Linked DNA regions of Pelodiscus sinensis. The protein of the gene in region 4 binds, or shares a complex with, the protein of the main gene of each other region. Links are inferred from orthologs where the notes say so. Each region holds a gene or a part of one and is shown on either strand. Other genes may lie near its edges. The genes, in order: ERC1, PPFIA1, PPFIBP1 and PHLDB2.

Region 1 (7,027 bases), about 49 Mb from region 4:
ACCTTCCCACCTTGAGGCAGGATTAGATATACCTGAACCATCCCTGAGAGGTTTTTACCTAACCTTGTTCTTAAAAACTTGTATTTACAGGGATTCCACAATCTCCCTGGGTAAAATACCCTTATGGTTAGTAAGATTTTCCTAAATTTCCCTTTCTGACAACTAAACAGATTATTTCTTGTCCTACTCTTGGAGACTGTGAAGAACAATTGATCACCATTATTTTTGTAAGACTTTTATGTATTTGAAGACTATGTCTCTGCTCAGTCTTCTCTAGATTAAACAAGCCCAGTCCTTCAGCCCGTCTTCATAGCATGTTCGCTAAACTTTTTATCAACTTTGTTGCTCTCCTCTTGAGTCTATCCAATCTGTCCACATCTTTTGGAAAGCATGAAGCCTTGAAAACATGGTCACAGTACTGCAGCTGTGGCCTCACCAATGCCAGGTAGAGCAGAACAGTTACTGCTCAACTTTTACATGAATACATCTTAGAATAACATTTGCCTTCTTTTATAACAGCATCATGTTTGACTCTTACTCAATTTGTGATCTGCTATAGCTCCCAGATTTTTTTTGCAATACTACTGCAGTTTGTAGTTGTGCATTTGATTTTTTTTCCTTCCTCAGTGCATCACTTTGATATGTGTATTTATTGAATTTCATTGTTGATTTCAGATCAGTTCTCCAATTTGGTGAGGTCTTTTTGAATTCTTATTCTGTCCACAATTAGGGATGTTAATGGATAACTGGTTACTTGGGGAGCAACCGCTCCTCCCCCGCCACCTGTGTTAGGTGGAGGGTCTGCTCCAGCACCGCTAGGCCCTCACAAGGGGCTGGGAGCTGGCAGCCCTACACAGAGTTGTTTTTTCCAGCCCCCCATGGGCTGGGCACCTGCAGCCCTGCAAGGGGTTGTAAACAGCCACACTGGAGGAGCCCCAGCCCATGGCAGGGAGGCTGCTCCAGCGTGCCCCTTTTTAACCAATTAAATGGTTAAACTGAATTTTACATCCCTATCCACAGGCATGCTTACAGCCCTTCCCCGCTTGGTGTCATTTGAAAATTTTATAAACATATTCTGTACTCCATTATCCAAATAATTGATTAAAATATTGGATCGTACTAGACGTAAGACCTATTCAGATCCACATTTGATCAGTCCTCACACTTTGACATCAATTATATTATTGCTACTACTAATAATAAAAGGGATGTAAGGGGGCGGGGTCCCCAGTAACCTTGCCGGGTGATGCTTTCCTGTACCTAGTAGTCTGACTGGACCCACCAATCGCAGGTGGGGGACTGCTCCATGTGAAACAGTGTTTAATCAGTTAACTTTTTAAATGATAGTTTACATCCCTAAATAATAACTATCTCTTAATATGATTTTTTTTCATTTATTTGTATACCCATATCATCTAGAGTAGACAATATTTCCCTAGTTTGATTATAAGAATGTAATGTGTGACTGTGTCAAGTCCAGATATTGTATCTACTGCTTTCTACCTATCTACTATTCTGGTAACCCTTTCAAAGAAGGAAACTAGATTGGTTTGGAATGATTGGTTCTTGGCAAGTACATGTTGACTATTACTTAGTATTCTCTAGAATTGTCTTCTCTGGCCCCTCTTCCACCAATGTAATGTCCAATTCTTCCCAGGCCAAATGGCTCCTCGGGTGTTTAATAAAATCATATTCTTTTTATAGCTGGCAGGGATTGTCAACTTGCAGCAAGCATGCCAAAGATAGCAAGTTGGTTGAATGGTACACGGTTCAATCAGGGTGCTTTTTAGGATGCCCTGCAGTTTATTTTCCTATTTTTCTATCATATTTTGTACAGATAAAGTTTGTTTTTATCCACATTTGAGTTAACCAAAATTCCTGTTTATGTGAATGCACAACATACCCCATGCTCCTTCAGGGAATTAGAATTTTCAGTCCCAACAATGGAGAAATGGAGGGAGAGCAGCTGCAGGAGACAGGGACCTCTTTAATGTTAGGAGGAAGGGGGGTGGTAGTGGAGGAATTGATAGAGACCTGGGGGAGCAGGGAGTGACTCCCCTCCCCACCCACCCCCACAAAAAGCTTGGCTCATTCCGTCACTGCACTGCCTCATCCATGCTGGAGCCATCATGATCATGCATGCAAATGCTGACTTCATTTCCTCAGGGCACTTGGTATCTAAGAGACAAGGAAGGAAGGTATGGCCCCATATCCCTTCAAGTGGAAAGTCCAATACTTGGTGTGGTATTTTGTTGCCAAAGATCTACTTTTGTTGTGGGTTGTAATATAAATGGTGGATCAAGCATGGTAGCTGATGTGGAAGACTCAGCAGTGAAAGTTTATCCTGGCACATGAGTTTGATCTAAATGTTATGTATAGACCAGGTTTAATTCTGAAGCTTCTTAGGAATATGAGCATGAGGTAGAAATTTCACCCCATAATCATAGAATAATAGGACTGGAAGGGACCTCGAGAGGTCATCGAGTCCAGCCCCCCGCCCTCAAGGCAGGACCAAGCTCCGTCTACACCATCCCTGACAGATACACTGTTTGGATCTCTGTTGTAACTCCATCTCCTTCCTCTTCTCCCCAGATTTTGTTGATCTCAACAATGGCAAATTCTATGTAGGAGTTTGTGCATTTGTAAAAGTCCAACTCAAGGTAAATGGATGTGATTTTGTTTGCTCCATCTGCTGGTGAACTGCTAGTTGATTAAGTACCATGAATGACAGTATTACTGTGTGTGTGGAGCTGAACTGCAACACACCATAGTATTGTGTCAAACCAGACAATCCTATGGGCCCCTGGAAAGCTGAACTTACTAGAGAATACATTCCAAGCCACTTAATACATATAGTCCACAAACGAGAGATGTAGTATTTTAATCAGCTGTCTAAAAGCAAAAGTTCCAGTATTGATTCCTTCATTTTTTTTAACTCACCTCTCAGGATGGGTCATACCATGAAGACGTGGGTTATGGAGTGAGTGAGGGCCTGAAGTCCAAGGCATTGTCCCTAGAAAAGGCAAGGAAAGAAGCAGTGACAGATGGGCTAAAGAGGGCACTAAAGTAAGTGGAGAACCTGAACATTTCTTGCTCATTTTCAAAAGATGGCATAAGAATACAATACGAAATTCTCAGTCATGGCAGGCTCTCTTGTCCCTCAGGTGCTTTGGAAATGCTCTTGGGAACTGCATCCTGGACAAAGATTACCTGCGATCAGTGAATAAACTTCCTCGTCAGGTGCAGTATGTGGGACTTTGGAGAAGGGGAAAGCAGAGTAATTTAGTTTGCCAGGAACCTCCTTGTTCCTAGTTGTATACCCACATCATCTAGACAGTATTTCCCTAGTTTGATTATAAGAATGTAGTGTGTGACTGGCTCAAGTCTTAAAGTCTAGATATATTGTATCTACTGCTTTCTACCTATCCACTATGCTGGTAACTCAAAGAAGGAAACTACATCAATTTGGAATGATTGGTAGGTCACTGGTTCAATTCATGTTTTGAAAGGGATGGAAACCATGAATGTGTCTAGTGGCAATGATTCCACAATCTTCCTTGGCTGCTAGTTATTTGACTATTCTTTGTAAAATATTTTTCCCAATAGCTCATCAAAATTATACAATTCTGAAACTTAAACCCATTGTTTCTCTTTCCAGGGGTCTTGTTTACTCTCTTCTTGTCAGATTCCCATCTCATTCCAATCACTATAGTTTCTGAGCACCAGCCCATTCTGTATCTTTACTGCTAGTGGGTCCAGCTGCACCCTTGTTGGTAATAGTTTAAATAAATACTATTATAGATAGGGATGAACTAATTCCAGTGCCACATCAAAACATGTTACTTGAAATATTGTACTGTGCTATGTACAGTAGAGCTTCTTTTAAACTAGAAAATTTTCAGATAGCATCCCACAGCAACTGCCCCCAGTCCGCTTTCACTATTTGTAAACAACAGTGGGAGCTCTAGTCTAAAAGAAGTGCTGCCAGCCACTACTTTTCCCCCTGCACAGCTGTTGAAAGTTTCAGCTCTCCTCTAACAGTACTGCATTGCAGAAATCTTCAGCATACAGAGAACTGAAAATTTAGGGGCTAAGAAAAATGTGCTGAATGTAATATAAAAAACACTTCATTGGTCTCCTGTACTGACTATTCGTTATCATATTTGCTATAATGAAACCCCTCCACTTTGATATATTTGGAAGCCACCACAGAATATCTAGTATGCTACAGAAATTAGAACAGCTTGCCATAGACTTTAGTTCCAGTTTACCAGAGAGTCTTATATGCAGATGTAGAGCCCTGGGAGTGCTGACCTAAGGGAAGGATCCAGGAGGAGCAGCTATCAGTACCTGATAGATAGAGAATGCCATATTGGAATCAGGTGGGTGGGCTTGGAGGTGCTGATTTATTATCTCAGTCAGTACCAATGGTGGCTGAAGCACAGTATTGCAGCTTCCTGTGGAATTAATATGGACACTGCAAACTCCCCAGTTGTATGTGGGTGAGAGAGATCCCTCTGACACCACTTTATATTGTTCTATCTAGCTTCCCTCAATATGTGCTCAGTTAAAGGGTGGAATATATGATTCCACTCCTGCATTTGAAGGGAAGAAAATGGTCTGCCCAGCTCTAACACATGTCTGTGTACACATCTATAAATTTAAAGTGTGATTTTTTTTTTTTTTACTCCCTTACCTACCTACCTCCCTGTTGTGGGATTGTCCAGATTCTATTACTTCTATATTTAAATATTCTATTGTGTGTTGGTATAGAGGCTAGCCAATAAACATTCACTAACACTGCCAATGATAGTGGTCTGCAAACAACCACTAACTCCTTTCAGAATACAGAACCAAACCAATCCTTTAAGGACAAAAGCGGCCCAGATACTGGTTTAAGAACTGCTAGAGAGGGGGACACAAAACATGAAATATTGTTGTAAGATGCTTTGAGTGTCTGTGACTTTAGAGTTAATGGGGCGGGGAGAATTGGTCAATGAATTACAATTTTTTCCTGTATTAGCTGCCTCCTGAGTTGGATTTCACAAAAGCAAAAAGGCAAGATTTTGAGCCTGCAATAGAGAAGGCAAGATACAGTAGCTGTCTGCAGAAACATAGTACAGGGCAACCCCAGCACTGTGAGAGCGTGTCCCCACACAAACAGGGCCAGGAGACAGCTTCTTCAAGCACAACGGAACAGGAGCAGCAAAATAGCTCCAGGTGAGTGTTTAATCTGTTTAACTTTGTACTATAAATGAGCACCCCTCCCCAGTTCTGGTCACCTTGTGCTTAAAATGTACAAATTCCTCCATTTACTCCCAAAATTCCATATCACTCTAGTGACCAGAGCATATATGAGCCACGTTAAGTGGAAGGCTGGTTCTTTTAATTCAGACAATACCCAACCCTATATTTGATCCATAGCTATTATACCCCACATTCCTCCAGGAGCTTTTAGGAGGCATTCAGTCCTAAGAGCTACTTTATAAGGTGCACAGTACTGTGGCTCTGAGCCAGAGAATACAGGAGTCAGGCAGCTCCTTATCAGGCAGGAACAGAACCATGAGGTTCCAAGGCTGTAACTCTTGAGTGAGGTGGTTAGCGCTCTACTTCTGCTTGGGCACCATAGCAGGTGTCATAGTCAGTTCACATAACTGTATATGCAATATTTGCATTGGCTTGAGCTCCTCCCATTCCAGAGCCTGCAACAAGAAGTGATAAATGTTGTCTTATATGTAATTCAAAATACTCTGCTACTCGAGTTTGGGTCAGGTTTGTGTATATGGTTCAGGCACAAGAGCAGGGTTTCAGCCACAGATTTCCTGTATAAACTTGGACAGGTCCTAGTCCTGTGCTTGCTAGAAATGGTAATACTTAAGCCTCCCTGACAACCCTGAAGTTGTAAATAGATAATGCTTGTAAAGCATGTTGGGAGTTCGGGGAGCAGCTTTGGTTGGAAAGTGTGATAGAAGAACCATCTATCATAGCTGGATTTTCCCTAGCATGCTATTGGTATAAACTTCCCCCTTCCTACTGTGTAATTATAGCTGAAGTGCCATCTGACTGTGTGTTTATTTCTTGGAGCAGAAGTAGCATCTTAGCCTGTGGGAGCGATGCCACTTACCAGCGCAAGTTACGGCAGAAGCAACTTCAGCAGCAGTTCCGGGAGCAAATGGAAAAAAAACATCAGATGGCAGTAGCCAATCCCATCAGCAAACAGGGTAGGGCAGGCCACTGTTAATCTGCTAGTCTAACAACCGGGACTATATCTACATTAAACATTACAGCAGCACAGGTCTGCCACAGCAGGTGCTTTGCAGTAAGGGCTCTCATGGACCTACAGTATGCAAGTGAGAGACACCTCTCCCCTTTGCATAATTAAACTATGCCCAAGCAGGGATAGCATTGATCACAGCCACTTGTCAGTGTAATTTATGTCCATCAGGGGTGTGCTTTTTTCCTCTCTGGTTCCTGACCAACAGCCCTGACCAAGGTGCTGGAGTAGTCACAACCCACCCTTACCCGTGAGTTAGGCTGGAGTCAGGACCTACAAGGTTAAACTGTTCAGCTGCCTAATTTTACCACCACTTGTTTGACTGAAGAAAGCTTATAAAAAGAAATCTCAAGTCATACTTGTTCCCTATAGGTCACGGCTGTGGATTCAAACAAGACATGATCAAAATTGCCATTATGTTCTCTTAGGAAAGGCTTAGCCAGTGCTGCTATAGAGTACCAACTGGGAATATTGAGAAAACCAAACCTCTGCTTACAGTTCAAGAAATTTTTGGATATTTTCATTGCGCATAGTAGGCCTTACCAGATATCATTTCGTGTCTTGCCCTCCACACCCCCATTTCTAGTGAGTGGCAAGAAGTGGATGTAGGACAGTTAGTATCTTTCTGAAATTACCTGAATTCCTTCCCCCATAGGGGCATCAGGTAGTGTCTTTTGCCTTTGTGGCACTAATAGTTCTTCTTTACCTGTGCCTAGAAGCATCTCTTCAGTCACTGATGAAGCATAGCACTCC
Region 2 (7,168 bases), on a different chromosome or scaffold from region 4:
AAAATGGGAATCAGTATCCGATTGTAAAGGGGAGCCTGAACCATGGCTTCCATTTCCCCCCGAAGGAACCTCTGCCTCGCTGATGGTTGGCATCACCTCACACATCATCTTGAAATAAAAAATTCAATGTAAAGTTATTAGTAGAAACCAAAAACACAAAGAGTACATCTACCAAAAAAAGGTCTGCAAATCAGAATGTGTAAGTCCCTTTCCTATACCAAGAAAAATTAGGACCATAATACATTATCAATTTAGCTCCACCAATGATACTCACCAAGGAGGCTGAAATAACTTAGGTGTTTACAACTATGTTGTGTAATATTATACAACAGATGTAATGCAGTGTACAACTAAATTTTCCAAATATTAGTGCCACTTCCCATTAAAGACCTTGTGATTTTCTTGCAAGGCTGTGTTTCTATGGTACTTACTACCTGTTACCTTATTTTGAGAGATTTATGCTTAAAAAAAATCTGTTGCTAGAACCTTCAAAAAGCACTGAAACCACACACAGTCAGCAAAAAAAGACACAGTTAACCCAATTATCTACTGAACTGCACAACTATTTGGAAAGAGCAAAAGATGATCCTTCAAACTCATGAAACTGTATTCTGACATCAAAACAGATGGATTAATTCATAACCGAGACACATATTTTGAATTTGTTATACTGTCCATACAATCTTTACTGTAGCACTTTGGTGCAAAAAAAGTTAGCAGTAGCACATTTCTGCCTCTAGATGCAGCAACTGGAAAAATCAGATTAGATTAATCCAGAGGACACGAAAACCAGAGGACACAAAAACCAAAGTTTTAGGTGAAAAGACATTGAAACTCTCAGATAAGAGTACTTAAATAAAACCAAAAACATTTGTACTGCAGGAATATGTCAATTACACTATCACTGTAGATATCAATAGTAAAAGATGCCTGTAAAGAGAAATAGACTGAGGCACAGAAGTTTATAAAAATGAGAATATTTTTGTGCCATCATGCTTAATAAATGGTAAAGCTTTGTTACTTTTTTCACAACAGGAGCTCAAACTTGGAAGATCATTGATTTAAGCAGGACCTTACTGCCCCTTTTGAATGCTGAGCCATCACAACTTAAAAACAGAGCTTGGAGAAACTTCTGTTCCTCAGATTTAAAAAGCAATGGAAATGAGAAAGCATTGTTATTCAGCATCAATACTGAACCACTAAGACCTTCAAGAATTCTTGGGGCAGAGTGCGCTTTAACCTTCTTTGCAAGCTTACAAGAATCCATTTGCAAACGCATACAAACAGAGAAGTAATCAGTTTTATTACAGGAGTAGAAAAAGCATCTCATCACACACTTCTTCCATATTTTCAATTACTATAAAAATGAAATCAGGCTTCAGACTTCATCTGAACATCTAAAGCAGTAGAAGTTTATTCTTCTGCAAAACTGCTTACATTTCAGAATTAAATCTGAAGATCTTACTCTTTAGATTTTACAATGAATTTCAGAGAGACAGTGTCACTTTTTAAAAGTCATTTTAAACCACAGACCCTTTTATTTTAAACATCACAAATTTTATTTACCTTGTTCAAAATGGCTTGAAAACAGTCCCCAAAATTCCAGCAACACCAGTTATCTTCTGTTCTTTCAGCAGCTGTGTGTGATCCTCAGACACCTGAAAAACTGTAGAGCTGCCATCCACCTTGGGTACAATGTTTACTCAAGAACCCCAGAGACAAAAGGATACATCAACCTGCTGAGTAAAGAATAGGTCCAGTAGGAGCAGCAATGGCTTCAACAGATCAGCCAAGTCCCCAAGGCAGAAAAGAGTGGCTGGAATGAAACCAGTCTCAGCTCTCCTCTCTACTGATGGCCACAGTTCCTGCAACAGCCCCGGCGGGGGAAGCATGTGCAAAGGCAAAGCCACTTCTACCCTGCTGGTGCAACAAGCTTCAGCAGGGCAAGGTTCAGAAATCCCTCTAAGGTCACAATCGCATTATTCAAAAGAGTAAAAATAGGAAGAACACGGGAGATGGCTTTTCTTGTAGGGTATTTGGAAGAGCTTTCCTTCTCCCCCCCTCTGTTAACAACAGTAGGATCTTTTCCTTCCCTCAGTTTCCTGGGTCTTCTCTCACACATTTATAATCCCAGTGGTGGAGGCTGCTGGATTCTGCTTTGAAAGTCGGGCGGGGCTTTGGAGGTATTTGTACTTGGGGTTATTGTTCCGTCCACTTACACTTACCCTCACCCCCAATGACTCCTCAGAAAAGGCTCCGGCGCCGAGACGTCCCGCTGCAGCCCAGCGACTGGCCCTCTCCCAAGAGTATCCCAGAAGCGGAGGGAGGGGGGCCAGGTGTGTGTGCAGGGACGACTGCGGGAAGAAGGACCGCTGCTTTGCAGCCGAGGTCCAGCGCTGTGGGGTCGTGCCCCAGCCCCTCCGGAACCCCGACGTGCGAGGATGGATCTCGGAGCAGACAGGAGGCCCCAGGGGAGCGCCGGCCTAGGCAAGGGCCCCTCTCCCGGAGGCCTCGCTCCCCTAAGCGGCGGGACTAGTCTCGGCTCCCGGGAGCCTCAGCGAGGAGTCGGGACTGGCAGAGGGGCCCGGGCGCCGCTTTCTCTCCCGGGCTTGCCCCGACGCGCGGATCGCTCCTGGCCCAGCCGCCGCCACCTCCACGGTGGCCGGTGCGGGTCTGGCCGAGGCCGGGAAGGTGCCGCGCAGTCCCCGGCGGCGGCCTAGGCCCAGCGATGAGCCGGGAGGGGGGCGGCTGGGCGGGCTCCCCTCGGAGCAACCGGCCGGGCCCCGCCGCTGCCGCTGCCTCGCGTCCCCGCAGCCTCCGGCCGCTCTTCCCGGCGCTCTCCGCGGCTCGGGCCCAAATCAGTGCGGGTCCCAGAATGCACCGCGCGGCGCCGAGGGGCTCCCGGTCCCTCTTCCCCTTTTTCCTCCACGCTGGGAGGCCGCCGGTTCGAGACTCCCCTCGACCGCCTCCCTCCCGGCGGGGGCCGGCCTCGGGCGCTCAGCACTGACGTGTCGCGGCTGCGTGCACCAACCCCGCGGCTGCCCTGCGCGGATGGGGCGGGGTGAGAGTTGCGCAGCCCGAGAGTCACGGCGGAGGCGGCACAGTCACTGCAGGCGCGGCTGTGCAGCGAACGGCGCTGGGGGGAGGCTTGTGGAAGTGCCCCCTTGCTCCCCACCCCGTTCGTGCAATACGATCGCAAACGCGGATTTCTTCCCTCCGGCCTGATTGTGCCAGACATTCGAGCCGCTGCGGGACGGCCGCAAGCCCCAGCCACTCCTCGTTCTCCGCACGCTTCGTTTTCATGGGACTCGACCTACACTTAAACGTGTTATCCATGGGACTGTGGATCCGTTCGGGGGGGGGGGGGGTTAAAATCAATATAATTAAAGCCCTAATGGGAATGAAGTTGTACCTTGGTATTCAAAGGTAATTTATGTCAGTATGAAACAAAATACAGGACTATGTAGCACTTTAAAGACTAACAAGATGGTTTATTAGATGATGAAAGTATGATTCCCTTCCCCTTACCAACATGAGTGCCTGCCTGCTGGTGGGGGGGCGGAGAGGGCTGCACAGCTTTGACTGTACCACAACAGTTTAGCGGGACAGTACTCAAGCCCCTAAGGCTGTAATCTAGCCATTTAGGGTTGCCAGGTGTCCGGTTTTGAACCGGACAGTCCAGTATTTGAGCTTCCTATTCGGGAAACAAATTGAGAAAATATAAATGAGAAAACGGAAATGCCCTGTATTTTCGAAATAAGATGTACTGTAGATTGTGGTGTAATGTCAAGTGTGCCCGGTATTTTTGTTGAAACCATCTGGCAACCCTAAGTCCATTGCAGTTGTGCAGAACCCCTCAGATTCAGGAACAGAGCTACTAAGGTGGCTCTGCAGATAGCCTGGAACAGCAGTTCTGAGTGGAATGAACTGCCCCATTCATATGGCTGAGGTGCAAAGGGTATGTAAGCACAGCAACCAGACACCTGCCAAGGCTGGGCCGAGCCAGCTGCCTTGGGCACACAGGCTTCAGGGTCGAGGGTTGTTCCATTGCTTTGCAGACTTTCTGGCTCAGAATCAGTCTAGGAGCCAGTGGGGTGGGAGGGGCCAAGAGCTCGATCTCCAGCTTGAGCCAGGAAACTAGAAGTCCGGTTGGCAGGCTTGCAACCTGGCTCTGTACAGCTCCCAGCAGCAGCAGCATGTCCCTCTGCCTCGTATGCAAAGGGATGGTCAGAGGGCTCCACACCCTGCCCCCACTGGTGTGGGGCCGCACCCTATGAGAGCTGTGGTGACAGTGCCTGTAGGCTGAGCTGAAAGGCATGTGACATCAGCAGTGGGGAGGCTCCTTGGAAATTGCAAGCAGCATCCAGAGCCTGTTTCCCACACCCCAGCACCTCTGGCCCAACCCAGAATCTCATCCTGCATCCAAATTCCCTCTCAAAGCCTGCACCCCACACCCTCTCCTGCATCTCTGCCCCAGCTCTCTGACGCCTACGCACCCAAACTCTCAGACCCCAACCCAGTGCCCAGCGTTGAGCTCCCTCGTGCACCCAAACACCCCTTGCCCCAATCCAGAGCCCTGACCTGCAACCAGAACTAGGGATGTTAATCATGTAGTAGGGCAACCATGTCACTGCTGAGATTTTCAGCAGTGACACGGTTACTCGTGTTGTGGGGTCTGCAGCATAAAGCTTAACTTTATAGTGCAGAGCCCACAGCAAAGCCTCCCTGGGAAAGGGGCTACCAGCCCCTGCTGGCCTAGCTCCCGGGGAGAAGGTCAGGCCGCTCTTGCTGGCTCTGCTCCAAAGGAGGTGGCTTCACTGCTCTGCCACAGCAAAGTCTCCACCCCAGGAGCCAGCTGAGTGTAGCTGACACCATTAACCGATAAGCTGGTGCTTATTAGTTATTCAATTATACTGTAACATCCCTACTCTGAACCTCTCATTTCTGTCCCCATCTGAATCCCACAGCCATATTCCAGAGCCCATACCCCCTGCCTCAGTCTGGAGTCCCCACACATATTCGGATCCCCTCAGCTCTACGCCCCCAGCCTACATCACTCTCCTGTACCCAAACCTCTCATCCTAGCCTCATCCCAGAACATGAACCTGAAGCCCCTGCTTCAGCCTGCAACCCCCCTCCTGCATTCTGAACCCCTCATTACTGGACCAACCCCAGAGCCCACAACACCCAGCCAGATCCCTCATTCCCTTCTGGACCTCAATCCTGTTTCTCAACCTGGTAAAAATGAGCAACTGAGTGAAGGTGGGGGAGAGCAAGCAAGGGGAGGGGGGCGAGAAATGGAGCAAGTGAGTGACAGGACAAGGGTGTTGGGTTTATGCATTTAGAAACCTTATTTGGAGTTCAAACATCTACCAGCAGTGATCCATAAATTAGAAGGCCAGACGGGATCAAATTGATCCTCTAGTCCAGTGTTTCCCAGTTTTATTTGGCCATGGAACCCTTTTCAGCTTAAAAGAATTTCAAGGAACCTCTAGGGTTGCCAGGGTAAAATTTTGTCAAGAAAAAAAAAAGACCCACCAGAATTTTTGTTGAGCAACCCCCGCCCAAAAAACCCCCTGCAAAATAGAGGAGGCGGGGGAGTGCCACATTCTTACAGAACACTGTTCTAGTCTGATTTTCTGTCTAACACAAGCCAAAGAACTTGTGCCACGGCATATTTTGTAGACAAAAAAATCTAATCTTGATTTTAAAATTGCTAATGATGGAGAATCTATCAAAACCCCTGTTCCAATGGTTAATTACCCTCACTGTTTAAAAAAACCACACCCTTATTTTGTGTTTAAATTTGCTTAGCTTTCAACTCCAGCCTTTGGATCCTGTTACATCTTTCTCTGCCAAACGGAAGAGTTCATTAAATATTTGTTCCCCATAGACTGTCATCAAGTCACCCCTTAACTCTCTCTTCTTTGTTTCTTGAGTCTGTCACTGAAAGGCATGTTTTCTAATCCTTTATTCATTCTCATAACTCTGAATCCTCTCCAGTTTATCAATATCCTTCTTGCATTGTGAGGACTAGAACCAGAGACACAGCATTTCATGAGTGCATGCCCTAGTGCCAGAGAGAGGTAAAGTATCCTCCTTAGTCCTACTTGAGATTCCCCTGTTTACACACCCAAGGATTGCATTAGCCCTCTGTACCACAGCATTACTCTGAGAGCTCATGTTCAGCTGTTCTCTGTTCTAAGGGTTATGCATGACACCATATTAAAACATGTATTGTTTGCTTGTATGCAGCTTACCAAGCTATCCAATATCAGTGCTGTCTTTCATTATTTACCATTCCTCCAATTTGTGTCATCTGCAAACAAAATCAGTGATAATCTGATGTTTTCTTTCATATCATTGATAAAAATATCAAACAGCACAGGGCCAAGAACTGATTCCTGAAGGATACCTGCTTAGTTAGTTCCATTTTGCAGTTACACTTTTAGTATGTGGCATCTTGATTTTATATAATTCTAATAAATCAAAATGTTTTGCAATACTAATTCGACCATCTTACAGAAATCCATATATAATCAACACTATTCCCTTTATCAACCAACCTTGTAATTGCATCAATATCAAGTTAATTTGACTTAATCTATTTTACATAAACCCATCTTGATAGGCATTAATTATATTACCCTCCTTTGATTCTTTATTAATTGAGTTCTGTGTCAGCCACGCCATTATCTTGCTTGGGATCAAGATCAAACTGACAGGCCTATAATTACCCAGGTCATCCTGTTTGCCCTTTTTAAATATTGTTACAACACTGACTTTCTTCCAGGACTGGAATTTCTGCAGTGTTCAAAGACTTCTTGAACATCAGCATTAATGGTCCAGTGAGCTCCTCAGCTAACTTTTTAGAACTTTTAGATGTAAGCTATCCATACCTTCTGATTTAAACAAGTCTAACTTTAGCTGCTGCTGTTTAACATTCTCTTGAGAAGATAGTTGAGTGGAAAAAAAAATTATAACACAACATCATCTTTTTTTCCCCCCAGATACAGAAAAACTATTTACCCAATACTTCTGTCTTTTCTTTGCTAATTCTACCATTCCCTTTTAGTAAATGTCTCAATACCATTGTTAGGATTGTTTTCCTCCTAATATACTTGAAAACCCTCCTTCCTATTATCCTTAATGCTGCAGGTCCATAGAT
Region 3 (6,862 bases), about 37 Mb from region 4:
ATAAATCAAGTCAGCATCAAAGCAAAACAGAACCCATATCTCCTGGTTCCCAACCCAGTGCTTCAATGATGCCTCTCTGATTACCATGGTACTGATTTTACTGAAATCTACACTTACAATGTGACCAGAAGTCAGAAGTCCTTCACAAATGTTAATTCTTAAACTATGACTCTTGCCTTTAATAGAAGCAATAAATCTGGATTTGACACACCAAGACATTTTATTGTCAGACATTTGATCACACAAGCATGAAGAACATTTTTCCTTTGAGGACTCAGTTTGAGGAATGCAGATACTTGTTTTGCTCAGCTCTGTGGCATATACTGAAATGGCATCAATGAACAACTTATGCAGTGTAGCTGTAGCCATACTGGACCCAGGATATCAGACCCAGGATATCAAAGTGAGTGAGGTAATATCTTTTATTGCTCCAACTCACCAACAGAAGTTGTCCTAATAAAAGATATTACCTCACCCACTTTGCTTCTCCAACAATCCACTCAAACATTTTACTATTGAAATCCTTTTTGGGGTCAAAGCAACCAGACCAAACCAGCAAAGCCTCTGAAAGCTCTCAAGATAACTAAACTTTAGCTACACAGGCATAGTTAAAGCAATACTAACTACTCTTGTGCATAGACAAGCATTTTCATTTAAGAGTCAACAGTATACAATCCCCCTCACATGAACACAGTTATACCAGCAGAACTATTGATGTTAGGGAAGGTAAATAAGCTATTTCAGTATAAGGAATTTCTATACTGGTATAGCTGCATCCACACTAAGGGTTACACTGGTTTAAACAGTCTGACAAAGAGCACAACAAAATAGTTATATAAGACTGTGTAGACCAGGCCTTAGAGAAGGAAACATCGCTAACCCAAGGCACACCTAGCTTTTTAATGGTTGTATTTGGAAGAGTTCTACTGAATCCATGAATTATGAAAGAGCTTGAACTTAAGCACACCTTTCTCCTACCATCTTCCTAGAAGCAGAATGTCTCCATGGCTTGTAGCTAGTGACTTTCAAGAATACATCCCAGTACACGCGGTATGGCAAACCAGACACAGATTCAACCCTTTTGCTATAATGCACTATATTACACAGTAACAGAAATATGACAGGTTTAAATTTAGACCTTCTTCTAATCAGCTTCATTTTTCAAGCCTAGTAAGTGGCTAGTTAGCAGAGTCCAGTAGTCTAAATTTTGTCATCACCTGTTTACACACACACACACACACACTTACACACACTTAGTTTTCATCCCTATTGGCTGGCCTGGAGAGGATGCCATTTGATACACACCACTCTAGTGCCATGAGTCTAGCTGCCAGCTAACCATTCACTCACAGCGAAGCCAATTCCTGTTCCCTTATGGAGATGCTACAAGGTGGGAAGAAAGGGGGTTACCTTCCTTTGGACTAAGGAAAGCAAAACATTGGAAACATGACTCATCACCCTAGATTATTTCTGTCAAACCCTAGCTAAAGATCAAGAAACAGGCAATGTCTTTTGCAGCAAGGGGAAGAGGGGGGAGACAGGTCGACAGCTCTCTCCAAGAGAGTGGCTACACAATCTCTAAATACAGTTTAAAGTAACCAAGGCAGATATGGCTTTTAAAGTTTTAAACACAGTTGCTTCTTTACCTTTTTTTAGTAGGCACAAGATTGATTTGTCTCATTGCAATGCATAAGCATTAGCCAGATCTCCTTCTAACTTTGCCCGTTGAAACTGGAGTCCACAGCAATCAGGGGAAATAAAGAAGTCTATGTTCACATGAGCCCTTCACTTTCCAGAAAGAGCAGAACTTTAAAAGCAACAGAAAATGTTCCTGTGTTAAAATTAAGGAGGAAAGCGGAAATGGCTGAGACGAGCAGGATTATCTGTGCTGCTCAACTGAAATGTTTCCCAAAAGGCTGCTTTCCCTTAGATTTAGGAGACAGGTTTGCAATTAACACATGCAGCTGAATTTCACACAGCCTCCCACAGAATGCAAATAACTTACTGAGTGCAACATTTTTAATTAAATAAAAGGCACCTACAGCCTTTCTTGGGGATGAGAAAACCCATAGTGCTAGTGAACTCAATCAGCTTCTAGAAGATGATTTTTTTTGAGAACCCTAGTCTCAGTCACTACACTGCAACAAATTAAGCATGTTATTTGAAGCAACATTACAACCAACCAATGCTTCCTGTTCTCTTTTCCACATAGCATGGTATAAGCCTGAAGCCAGAAACTTATAGCACCTGAAGGCACCAGGTTTTCTTTTTCAAGGAATCCTCCCTCCCCCCTTTCTCCACAGAGAAACCATTTAAACACACACACATCCTTACAAACACCAGATTTGCAATGTACTACAAAGCATACAATCGCCTCCCCCACCACTTTTTTTCGGTCTGCAATCTCTCAGCATTTTCCTTCACACTCTGCTACCTCCTCCCCAAACAAATCCTTCCAACTATTGCAAACAAACCTTCTACAGGAAACCTTCCCACGGACACAAACACCGTCATGCTGCAAGGCAGACTGAATTAGGTACTGTCTCGCCGCCCTTCCGTGGGAGCTTTGCCCGATCCGTTACTGAGCAGCCCCGCGCTTCAAGTAAAAACCCAGAGGCCAAGAGAGAAGAGAAAGGGACAGGTTTTGTTTTGGAAGGAGGAGCAGGAATTGCAGAGGGAAGCTGAGCCCCAGGAACAGCAGCTGCAGACAGCCCCGTGTTGCAATACCACCCTCTTTTCCTGACTTCCACCAAAGTCCAATCCGACCCAGCTACCTGGGTGGAAAGCAGCCAGGTCCCTCCCCAAAAGTTCTGCCGCCCCTTCCCCCAGGCCGAGCGCGGTACCTTCTCCCTGGGCAGCCTTGTTAAACCCTCGATCGCCCCCTCCTCCCCGCCGGGCTCGCTCCCTGCCTCTCGCACCAGGGCAGGAATCCGAGCAGGGGCTGAGCTGGGAGCTGACGTCACTCCGGTTCCAGGTACCTCCCTCCCCGCGGGGAATGGCCACAGAGGCTCGGGGAGGGGCGGGAATGGCAGCCGGCACCCTCCAGCTCATTGGGGCCGGGAGCAGTCACTCAGGGGCAGGCAGAGCATGTGTGCGTTCCAGGCGGGGAGCGCCAGTCCTGCTGGAAATCGGGACGGGGGGGGGGGGGGGCTGTGGATGCGACTTCCCTGGTGTCTCTGGGCAGGGGGCGGTGGTTTCACGAAGCGCTCAGGAAGCCAATGCTGGGCACCTTCTGCATGGGACAGTCCTGACCTCCGAGCCCAAAAGGAAAGTGTAAACAACCCCCCTCCCCGGTTACACTGCAAGTGTGATTGACACCGGGGCTGCCCCACTCTCTGGGGGTGTTCCCTACACAGACTGTTCAGAATCGACACACGCTCCAAATCAGGGCCAGCGCCTTCCCCAACTTTCAACTTCTTAGGACACGCCTCTTGCACCCCCACCGAAGAGCAACGTCTCGCAACTCCCACACAGACACACACCCAAAGATTCCTCCCTGCAACGCCTCTGTTGATACTCCCGGGATTGTTCCCAGCTAGGCTCCAGCAACCTGTGGGCACCCCGCGGAAAGCTGCCTGCAACAGAGTAGGGAGGAAAACAGGAACCCAGCGCTGCATTCTCTAAACCTCTTGCACACAAACATCTCCGGAGTTTGGCTCCCTCGTAATTAGAAAACATGCTCCAAGCATTTGGATTTCAATACAGGCTTTATCCAGAGTAACCCATACTCACTAACTCAGCACACACAGTCAACTCTGAAGCAAAATGCAGGACAATGTAGCACTTTAAAGACTAACAAGATGGTTTATTAGATGATGAGCTTTCGTGGGCCAGACCCACTTCCTCAGATCAAATAATGGAAGAAAATAGTCACAGCCATATATACCAAAGGATACAATTAAAAAAATGAACTCTGAATGAGCCAAACAGGAAGAGCATCCACAATTCCCCTCTTTTAGGGACTATCAGTAAAGTCATCGCTTTTACTATGTTTGGGATCGTCTAACAACTATGCAAACCACTACAAAGCTCCTACCTTTAAAATATTACTACTACTAAAATAAAAATAATAAAAAGCAAGCATTTAAGGATAATAGCTTGTATAGTGTCCTTCTTGTAACATGGCCTCTGGAGATGTTTATTTTGGGTCTGCACATCCTAAACTCAAAACTCAGGTCATCTGAAGAAGTGGGCTGTGCCCACAAAAGCTCATGGTACCAGCTACATGTTTTGTTAGTCTATAAAGTGCTACCAGACCATTTATTGTTTTTTAAGTTTAACTTCTGGAGATGGTGGGTACTGGCCTCTGCTATGTGATGTGATATTAATAATTTGTATTCTTGAACTGATAGTTCCTGAATGGAGCCAGAAAATAACATTAAAGTTGGCCTTTATCTTAATTACACTGAGTATTCGTTATGTAAGCAATCCCACCTCCCTCCACTCCTGTAGATCACCTTCTGCGAAGATCTAAATTTGTTCCCCAACTAGCTTCTTCTGAATCAGAAGATGCCAACTGTGGATGCCAAACATGATCTTTGTTGCACTACGTAACTTGTCCACACTTTGCCTCCGTGATTTCTATCACTCTTCCATGCAAAAAAATGAGCCATTATAGAATCATAGGACTGGAAGGGACCTTGAGAGGTCATTGAGTCCAGCCCCCCCCCGCCCTCAAGGCAGGACCAAGCTCCGTCTACACCATCCCTGACAGATGTCTATCTAACCTGTTCTTAAATATCTCCAGAGAGGGAGATTCCACCACCTCCCGTGGCAATTTATTCCAATATTTGACCACCCTGACAGTTAGGAATTTTTTCCTAATGTCCAATCTAAACCTCCCCTGCTGCACTTTAAGCCCATTACTCCTTGTCCTGTCCTCAGAAACCAAGAGGAACAAATTTTCTCCTTCCTCCTTGTGACACCCTTTTAGATATTTGAAAACCGCTATCATGTCCCCCCTTAATCTTCTTTTTTCCAAACTAAACAAGCCCAGTTCATGAAGCCTGGCTTCATAGGTCATGTTCTCTAGACCTTTAATCATTCTTGTCGCTCTTCTCTGTACCCTTTCCAATTTCTCCACATCTTTCTTGAAATGTGGCGCCCAGAACTGGACACAGTACTCCAGCTGAGGCCTAACTAGTGCAGAGTAGAGCGGCAGAATGACTTCACGAGTTTTGCTACCAACACACCTGTTGATACAACCTAGAATCATATTTGCTTTTTTTGCAACAGCATCACACTTTTGACTCATATTCAACTTGTGGTCCACTATGACCCCTAGATCCCTTTCTGCCATGCTCCTTCCTAGACAGTCGCTTCCCATCTTGTATGTATGGAACTGATTGTTCCTTCCTAAGTGGAGCACTTTGCATTTCTCTTTATTAAACCTCATCCTGTTTACCTCTGACCATTTCTCTAACTTGCTAAGGTCATTTTGAATTATGTCCCTATCCTCCAAAGAAGTCGCAACCCCACCCAGTTTGGTATCATCTGCAAACTTAATAAGCGTACTCTCTATCCCAATATCTACATCATTGATGAAGATACAGGCAGTCCCCGACTTACGTGGATCCGACTTACGTTGGATCCCTAGATACGAACGGGGTGAGGCAACTCCCGCACATGCGCAGCAGCATTCCCGGGGCTCACTCACCTGGGTCCTAGGATCCTCCTCCTCCTCGGGCCGGCTCTGACTGGGGTCCCGCAGAGCTGCCGGGCAGAGGAAAAGTGCCTCCCCACGCCCGCTGCCCCCCCACCCACCCCCCTGCCAGCAACAGGCTGCCCCCTCCCCTGAGCAACAGGCTGCCGAACAGACAAAAGCAGCCTCTCCGCTCCTCCTCCCCTCTATACATGCTGGGCTCCCTGGGCAAACAAAGACTCCACCAACACAAACAAAGTGCTGGCCTCATTGTGTTAGCAAAAAAAGGACCCTCCTCCTAGAACCCTGGGTGGTGTGTGGAAATAAAGCTATTAGCTCAAAGCATGGTGCAGAGCTGTTTGGTATTTGATGAGTTACTCCTTTAGTCCTGAGTTTGTCACAGGGACAGAAATAGATGTGAAATCTTCTGAACAGGGGAACAGACAGCAAAACAAACATTAGAGGGGAGTTAACCTTTCCCTATGCTATCCAAAACTAAAAAAAATGTTTGGCTAGAGTTTCCCCTACAATATGTACCAGTTCCGACTTACATACAAATTCAACTTAAGAACAAACCTACAGTCCCTATCTTGTACGTAACCCGGGGACTGCCTGTATTGAACAGTACGGGTCCCAAAACAGACCCTTGCAGAACTCCACTTGTTATCCCTTTCCAGCAGGATTTAGAACCGTTAACAACAACTCTCTGACTACGGTTATCCAGCCAATTATGCACCCACCTTATCGTGGCCCTATCTAAGTTATCTTTGCCTAGTTTATCAACAAGAATATCATGCGAGACCGTATCAAATGCCTTACTAAAGTCTAGGTATATGACATCCACCGCTTCTCCCTTATCCACAAGGCTCGTTATCTTATCAAAGAAAGCTATCAGATTAGTTTGGCATGACTTGTTCTTCACAAACCCATGCTGGCTATTCCCTATCACTTTATTGCCCTGGCAACCCTGTCGCATCAGCACCCCACCGTAGAGAGGCCCGTCTGGAGTTTGGAGAGCAGCACCAACTGGTGGAACCGGGTGGTCCTCGGACTATGGGATGACCAGCAATGAATCAGGAATTTCCGGATGAGAAAGCGGATCTTCATGAAGCTGTGCACCTGGCTCACCCCCCCGCTCCAGAGAGCCGCCACCTGGCTGCGGGCACCCATCCCCGTGAAGAAGAGGGTCGCCATCACGCTGTGGAAGTTGGCCACACCGGA
Region 4 (7,304 bases):
ACATATTCCCCTCACCTAGTCCTCATAAGGATCTTATATAATTTCAAGAAGTATTTACACAGTAGAGCACAGCTATCAGGTAGGTAGCTTTCTATCAAGTGTGAAGTTACCTACATTCACATGTATTGAACAAATGGCCCTGAAAGCTGTCACTGCAGTCCTCACTACATCAGGCTGAAATTCTCCAAGTAGCTTTGAATACCAGTAGGACATTCTTTCATGTGGCTGACAAAACAGAAACATACTGTTCTAAAAAGAAATATGCAGCACAGATATACACAGAACTGCATAAAAGACTGCCTCTCAGTCAGTATCCAGCTGGATATGGAGTATTTCTCCTTGCCATTCCTTCTTTCCCCAGTCACTACCATGCCTGTGGGGCAGGGATGGGGACCTAAACAGAGTGAGGGCTAAATTTGAAAACAAGTAAAATTGCCTCTCTCCTATCCCTCTCCCCCTGAAACAGAGCGCACACATACCATAAGCAGATGATTACACACTCATCCACATTCTGAATGGCATTATTACACATCTCCCCTGGGGGTGCGGTAATACATCTGTGTTGGGTTCTGTTTAAGAACCATTGCCAAGTCAAAGAGTCCAAGTACAGCCCACACCTCTGACCTTCCCCAGCTTGAGCCAGAAGAAATTCCTCAGAATAGGTTGGGGTACCAGCCTGTGCTCCGATTGCTGATGGTTTAGTTTTGTGGGATGGAGCTGATCTGTAAACAGAATATCTGGGGCTGCATCACTATGAGACAAATTTAGAACCCACCACTTTCTCCACCATCACCACTGGCAAACAGTTTAAAAGTCAGTATTAATTCAAGACAATCAGAGTTCATGCTAGATCCACATTCTTTAATTATATCTGTGCCTAGGTAGAACTGCTCATAAACTGAACTCCCCTGTGGCAGTCAAAAACATCAGGAAAGCTTTAAAGGTTTATTGTGCTGGAGGAAACATGAAAAGAATCAACAGTAATAAAACAAAGAGTCATTAACTTAGTCTTGCTCTGTCCCCTCCCTGCTAACAGGTAAGAGATCAGTGATTTTGAATACTTCCTTCTTGCACATCCCAGCTGTGCTTTTCTGCTGGATTGTACAATCAGGACTCCAGCCTGGGTTTACAGCATCCCAGCCTGTTGCTGACTACACAAATGCAACAGTCTGGAATCCCCACTGGCTAGGATAAGGCCGAGGGGGAGGGAGAAAGGGCTTTGTTTAGTAAAAGGAAAGTCACAACAATGTGTGTTATCTAGCAGAAGAGGAAAAATACAAATGAGAGGAAAACGAGGTTGAAAGGGCCAATGAGAAGGAATGGAAGTTACTTTTACAGTATTTTATAAACATGTATAAATCCAGAAGCTAACACACAATCCTGTAAACAACAGAGGTCATCGTCCAATCAAAGTACCAGCTACAGATCTCTGGCGATGGATGGAAACTGTTTAGCTCAGTCATTAGTTCTCCGAACACAAACAGAAAGCGACCCTTGGTCCATTTTCGTAGCAGAGGCATTCCCCACAACCAATGGGTCCCTTGGGAGGCGCATGTGACCTTTAAATCAAATGTATGAATTATGAAAATTATGAAAAGCAGGGACGAGACAAAAGCCTCCTTCCTTCAAGAACAGACAAACTACTTAGATCCCGCGACAGTGGGACATTTGGAAAGATTTGAGTAGGTTTGTGATTTTTAAGTAGGTTCTGTCTTCTGTTTTTTCCCCAACAGGAAATCTCCACTTAGCACCCCTCCTCCAATCCTCCCCTTTTAGCAATCCTTAAAGGGGTGCTTTGAATCGCTCACTTTGTCTTGGCTGAAGCCCCTTTTACACAGGCTGTTTAAAGCAAGTCAGAATAGCCCCATTTTCCTCCCACAGGCAGCTTCTGACCCCCCACCCCCCTTTCCCCCTCTTACCAAATCAGCGTTTGCCCCCAGGAATTTCAATGAGCGGGTTGTCCACATTTCAAGGGGAGGCTGGAAAACGACTGAACTACTTTGATGCAACCAGTTGGCCCCGGAGGGGGGCTGAGGGAGTTCAAAGGGAATCCCTGTCCCAAGCACAAGCATCTCCCCACGCCTCCTTCCTTACGCTCACTGCTCCCCCCAACCCAACTGTTTTGTCCCCAGATCCCCCGCCCCACACACCCCTCAGAGACAGACACAGGCGCACACGCTCTTAGACGCGCAAGCAGCACACGGCGGGCTGAACGTGCACTCACCTCCTCCTCCGGCAGCAGCTGCCCGCTGCGCATCCCTCTCCTTCCCCCGCCAGCCGGCCTCGCCGCCCAGCCCCAGCCGAAAGCGGCCCGCCCTCCCCCCAGCGCCGCCCCACGCCGAGCCCGGCCCCCAACCCAAAACCAGCCCGGCTCGCAGGGGCTGCCTCCTTCCTGCCCCCGGGGCTCACACAGCCGGGAAGCCGCCTGCGAGCTGGGGCGGCGGCAGGGGGAGGGGGGGCAAAGCAGGAGGAAGAGCAGAAACAAAGAGAAGGGAAGAAAGGGGGGGGAGAGGGGACAGGCACGAGGGGAGGGAACAGGGAAATTGCAAGAACGGGAAAACTAAGCAAGGCTGGAAAGCCAGAGGCAAACAAAGGGGGGAAGGGAAGGGGGGCTCTGCAGCTGAAATAATGGGGGCTACTCCCCGGTGCTTTGGGACACCGCGAAACGCGCCTCGCGGTTCATGGCACGATTGGGCGCTCTGAGGCGTGCGAGCCAAGCTGGAACCCGGCCCGCGCTGCGCCCCTTTGCTCCCCAGCGGCTGGGCAGTGGCGCTGGAGGGGCACCGCGCGCGCCCCTTCCCGCCCCAGGCACACGCGGGGGAGTTCGGTGACGCCACTCCTGGCCCATGCTGTGAGCCGGGGGGGGGGAGGGAGGGCGCTTACGCAATTCTACAGTGAGCAAAGCTTCAGCAAACTTCCAGCGAGCTGCCTGTCGGCGCTTAGCAAACCCCACATCAAGGGATGAGTCGATTTCCTACCCGACTGTGACCAAGCGGAGTTGATTGCTCAGAAAAACGCAGGGCAGATTTTCGCTTGAGTTGGGAGTGGCGGCAGACGAGCCCCAGGAAAAGGAGGTGTGCACGCTGCAGCCTGCATTGCACAGATGCCCAGCGTGTGTTTATCTGCCCTGCTTCCCCAGTAACTTGAGGCCACTTGCTGGTTGAGTCAGGCTGCTTTGCATGCCCTGGGGTTTCAGAAAAAGAAGCTGCAACATCTGCATGGTAGTACTGCCCGCTAACCCACTTGGTCAGCTAACCTACTAAGTGGTGAAAAGCTCAGTTGCTCCAACTGCTATCAGTGATTCCCAACCTTGTTCCTGTGGAGGAACCCCTACCTCTGAAAACATTTGTTTGGCCAGGAAAAGTTGACAGTGGGGAGTGCAATACAATTACTGCTAAATTATTGTCAGGAAAATTTATGGCTGCATCTAGACTGGCATGATTTTGCAGAAATACTTTTAATGGAAAAGTTTTTCTGTTAAAAGTATTTCCGCAAAAGAGCTTCGAGATTGGCACAGATGCTTTTGTGCAAATAATGCTTTTGCACAAAAGCATCCGTGCCCAGTATAGGCACGCTTTTGCGCAGGAAAGCTCCAATGGCCATTTTAGCCATCGGGCTTTCTTGCACAAAAAATTAAGGTGCCTGTCTACATTGGCCCTCTTGCGCAAATATTCTTGTGCAAGAGGGCTTATCCCTGAGCGGGAGCGTTAAAATACTTGCGCAAGAAGCACTGAATTCTTACATGAGAACGTCAGTGCTCTTGTGCAAATTCAAGCAGCCAGTGTAAACAGTTGGCAAAATCTTGCCAGTCTAGACACACACTATTTGTAAAGAGCTGTTATATATATATGTCAACTTACATTGTAAGAAAAAAAATTGTATTTATTTATGCCACGATTTCTTGCAGAACCTCTGACGATGGTCTGCGGAACCCTAGAGTTCTGCGGAACCCTGGCTGGGAAACACTGTGCTACCTGGAGAACCATAAGCCAATGTCTCTTGCTGAAATCTTCCCTACAGTAACACACATGCAAAATGAGGCTAGTGACTGACTTGTGATCATCATCAAAGAAAACTTAGTTGGGACATTATAAACTTCAAAAGTAAAATTTCAAGTCAGAAGGGTGAAGGAGAGAGGAAGGGACCCCAGTAACACTAGCTCCTGGGCAACTGCTGCCCAAGGAGATGGCACCAGGTGCACCTAATAGGCTGGAGGCCCCATGTGCTTGGATGTTGCTTGGGACTGGCTCTGGGGCAGCACCCAGGTAATGAGTCATCATTAATCAAGATGCCCTCAGCACCTGAGCCACCAAATATTCAAAAAAGCAGCACCCAAAGAGAGAGGCAGTCAAATTCCAGGACTCAGATATCCCTACAACCACCCTGTTCCCACCTGTGAATCCAAGGCTTTTCATTAAACCTAACAAACTTGTTATGGCTTTTGGACTCATAACAATTACCCTGTATGTGGCCTACATTGGCTATTTACATGCAACATAAGAGAATAAAAGGGACCTCCTTGAAGCTGTTAACAGTGAAGGAGCCAGGTACATGAGGAGAAAGACTTCAAAGTGGGTTTAAAGAAGCTGCTTAATAACAGAGAAAAGAGAAAGGAGTGATTGGCAAAGTAGGCATCTGAATTGTTAATGTTAAATTAGGTGGCTGCTAACTGTTCTATGCAATTTTTGGAATGATGTATATAAAATTAAATCCCATTTTTATTCCATTTTACAATGTCATACCTGTACCTATAAACTTTTCAGAAGACATACACAGTAACAAAAAGGTTAAGAACTAAAAAATTCAAGTCTTAGGTGCGTGAGTTTGTCTCAGGAAAAACAACAGCATCCGATGAAGTGGGGGTTTGCCCACAAAAGCTTAAGTCCAAATAAATCTGTTAGTTCAAGTGCCACAAGACTCCTTGTTTTTTAAGTAAATTCATTGACATATAAACTACTCTGGCAGATTGGACAGTCAGCCAGACACTTCTGAATTCAGAGTTTGGTCCTTGTTGTGTGGCCTTGTCAATTAATTTTTCACTGTTTCCCACTGAGTGAAGAAGGAATAACAACATTACCTACCACACATAAGGGTCCTGTGAGGATTGGTGAATTTTTGTAATATTTTGAAAATGCAAAACACTATATAAAAAGTGTTAATTATTACCATCATTTACTGGAAATCTGTTAGTTATGATCTAGCTCAGGAGTTCCCAAACTTTTTGATACGGGGACCAGTAAATCCATTCACGAGCTTTTGGAGGACCGGTAACATTCATTTGTATATTTGCATATTCATTAAGCAAATTACAAATATGCAAATATGGTGATTTTGGTCCTCCCAAAGCCCCCAGAGCCAGCTTTAGCAAAGCTTTTGATACGGCCACCCACACTATTCTTACCAGCAAGTTAAGGGAATATGGATTGGAAAAATGGACTGCAATCCAATAAAACCCTGCACCACCACATCATGTATTGAAAAGGGGCTCATTTATTTTCAGAAAGCTGACACCATCTTTGGAATTTTTTATCCATATTCTCATTCCGGATGGTGAATGCACCAGGTTCTCTCCATTCTGACACATTACAGTGCCTTTAAACCTCACTGTCAGCAGTGGGAATATTTAAAAGGCACTGCTTTTACATTTTTATTTAGGATCTGAGTGCGCCCTGAACTGTCCTGCTCACCGCTGGCCGATTCTCCCTTCCCCCTCCCCCCCACCAGCCCAGCTGTCCCTGCCAGCCGATTCTCTCCCTATCTCTCCTGGCAAGCCCTGCTGCCCCTGCGAGATGGTTTCCCCCCCACCGCGATCTCCCCTGGCCCAGCCCCACTGCTCCTGCCCCCCAGCCAGCCCTGCTTCCGCCGGTCAGTTCCTCAGCCAACCCCGCGGTCTCCCCCAGCCAGCCTTACTGCCCCCACGAGCCAGTTCCCACCCCCGCAATCTCCCCTGGCCAGCCCCACTGCTCCCACCATCCCCCCCCCCCCGGCCCGCCCTGCTTCTGCCAGCCGGTTCTCCTCTCCCTCTCCTCCTCCCCACGCACGATCTCCCCTGGCCCACCTCCCAGCCAGCCCTGCTTCTGCTAGCCATTCACCCCCCCCCCCCCCAGCGATCTCCCCTGGCTAGCACCCCCTCCGGCACTGGCCCCTGTACATGGCAGCCAGGACAGGTGTTTTATTGAGTCATTTCTAACAATGAAGCACATCTTCACATCTTCTAACAATGAAGCACATCTAGAGGTTATAGTGGACCACAAGCTGAATATGAGTCAGCAGTTTGATGCTGTTGCAAAAAATGCAAACACGATTCTGGGATGCATTAACAAGTGTGTTGTGAGCAAGACACGAGAGGTCATTCTTCCACTCTACTCTGCACTGGTTAGGCCTCGGTTGGAGTATTGTGTCCAGTTCTGGGCACCACATTTCAAGAAAGATGTGGAGAAATTGGAGAGGGTCCAGAGAAGAGCAGCAAGAATGATTAAAGGTCTAAAGAACATGACCTATGAAGGAAGGCTGAAAGAACTGGGTTTGTTTAGTTTAGAAAAGAGAAGACTGAGGGGGGACATGATAGCCGTTTTCAGGTATCTAAAAGGGTGTCATAAGGAGGAGGGAGAAAACTTGTTCATCTTGGCCTCTGAGAATAGAATAAGAAGCAATGGGCTTAAACTGCAACAAGGGAGGTTTAGGTTGGACATTAGGAAAAAGTTCCTAACTGTCAGGGTAGTTAAACACTGGAATAAATTGTCCAGGGAGGTTGTGGAATCCCCATCTGTGGAGATATTTAAGAGTAGGTTAGATAAATGTCTATCAGGGATGGTCTAGACAGTATTTGGTCCTGCCATGGGGGCAGGGGGCTGGACTCGATGACCTCTAGAGGTCCCTTCCAGTCCTAGTATTCTATGATTCTATGATCTTTCTTCTAATATTTTTTCAATGGACTCCACAAGCATTAAGGATGCTTTCTGATGTTGTTATGGTAAGTACAGGTAATAGAGGGATCACTGTGCAGTGAATCACAGCAGCTGTTATCTAACAGGTTAATACTATACAACAGCTTAGCTCACAAAAATGAACCATCTGTACTTACAGACTCTTCAAGTAGGACAATGATTTTATGCAAGACACTGGGGGCTTGTCTATGCTGCTCTGCCATTGGACTATAGAAGTCTGATTAGCATTCATTGTACCTCTCTCATGTGAATGCTGCCATAAGACTATACTTTTCCTGAAATGTCAAATAACTCTCAGTCTCAAATGTTTATATCTTTTGGTGTCCTATCTTCAGTCCTGTTTACAAGCTGATGGCA

Evidence for each region.
Region 1: PHLDB2 (region 4) and ERC1 share a complex: the UniProt entries of both Homo sapiens proteins name them as parts of the cortical microtubule stabilization complex. The link is inferred for Pelodiscus sinensis from reciprocal best matches to the Homo sapiens genes PHLDB2 and ERC1.
Region 2: PHLDB2 (region 4) and PPFIA1 share a complex: the UniProt entries of both Homo sapiens proteins name them as parts of the cortical microtubule stabilization complex. The link is inferred for Pelodiscus sinensis from reciprocal best matches to the Homo sapiens genes PHLDB2 and PPFIA1.
Region 3: PHLDB2 (region 4) and PPFIBP1 share a complex: the UniProt entries of both Homo sapiens proteins name them as parts of the cortical microtubule stabilization complex. The link is inferred for Pelodiscus sinensis from reciprocal best matches to the Homo sapiens genes PHLDB2 and PPFIBP1.

The regions. Positions count from the first base shown.
Region 1 is NC_134711.1:108,149,877-108,156,903, reverse strand, and holds the start of ERC1 (ELKS/Rab6-interacting/CAST family member 1), read right to left. Parts: upstream 2,948-7,027; 5' UTR 2,941-2,947; intron 2,661-2,940; coding exon of another isoform or gene 2,593-2,660; intron 1-2,592. Other genes in the region: DNA repair protein RAD52 homolog, read left to right, coding at 2,593-2,660, 2,948-3,066, 3,165-3,240, 5,024-5,220, 6,088-6,221, 6,991-7,027. UniProt on the Homo sapiens protein: Regulatory subunit of the IKK complex. Probably recruits IkappaBalpha/NFKBIA to the complex. May be involved in the organization of the cytomatrix at the nerve terminals active zone (CAZ) which regulates neurotransmitter release.
Region 2 is NC_134714.1:88,189,117-88,196,284, forward strand, and holds the start of PPFIA1 (liprin-alpha-1), read right to left. Parts: upstream 3,001-7,168; 5' UTR 1,567-3,000; intron 109-1,566; coding exon 1-108. UniProt on the Homo sapiens protein: May regulate the disassembly of focal adhesions. May localize receptor-like tyrosine phosphatases type 2A at specific sites on the plasma membrane, possibly regulating their interaction with the extracellular environment and their association with substrates.
Region 3 is NC_134711.1:120,150,777-120,157,638, reverse strand, and holds the start of PPFIBP1 (liprin-beta-1), read right to left. Parts: upstream 3,001-6,862; 5' UTR 2,844-3,000; exon of another isoform or gene 2,840-2,843; intron 2,779-2,839; exon of another isoform or gene 2,475-2,778; intron 2,132-2,474; exon of another isoform or gene 1,647-2,131; intron 1-1,646. UniProt on the Homo sapiens protein: May regulate the disassembly of focal adhesions. Did not bind receptor-like tyrosine phosphatases type 2A.
Region 4 is NC_134711.1:156,652,201-156,659,504, reverse strand, and holds the start of PHLDB2 (pleckstrin homology-like domain family B member 2), read right to left. Parts: upstream 3,001-7,304; 5' UTR 2,979-3,000; intron 2,467-2,978; exon of another isoform or gene 2,225-2,466; intron 2,102-2,224; exon of another isoform or gene 1,920-2,101; intron 1,560-1,919; exon of another isoform or gene 1,417-1,559; intron 1-1,416. UniProt on the Homo sapiens protein: Seems to be involved in the assembly of the postsynaptic apparatus. May play a role in acetyl-choline receptor (AChR) aggregation in the postsynaptic membrane.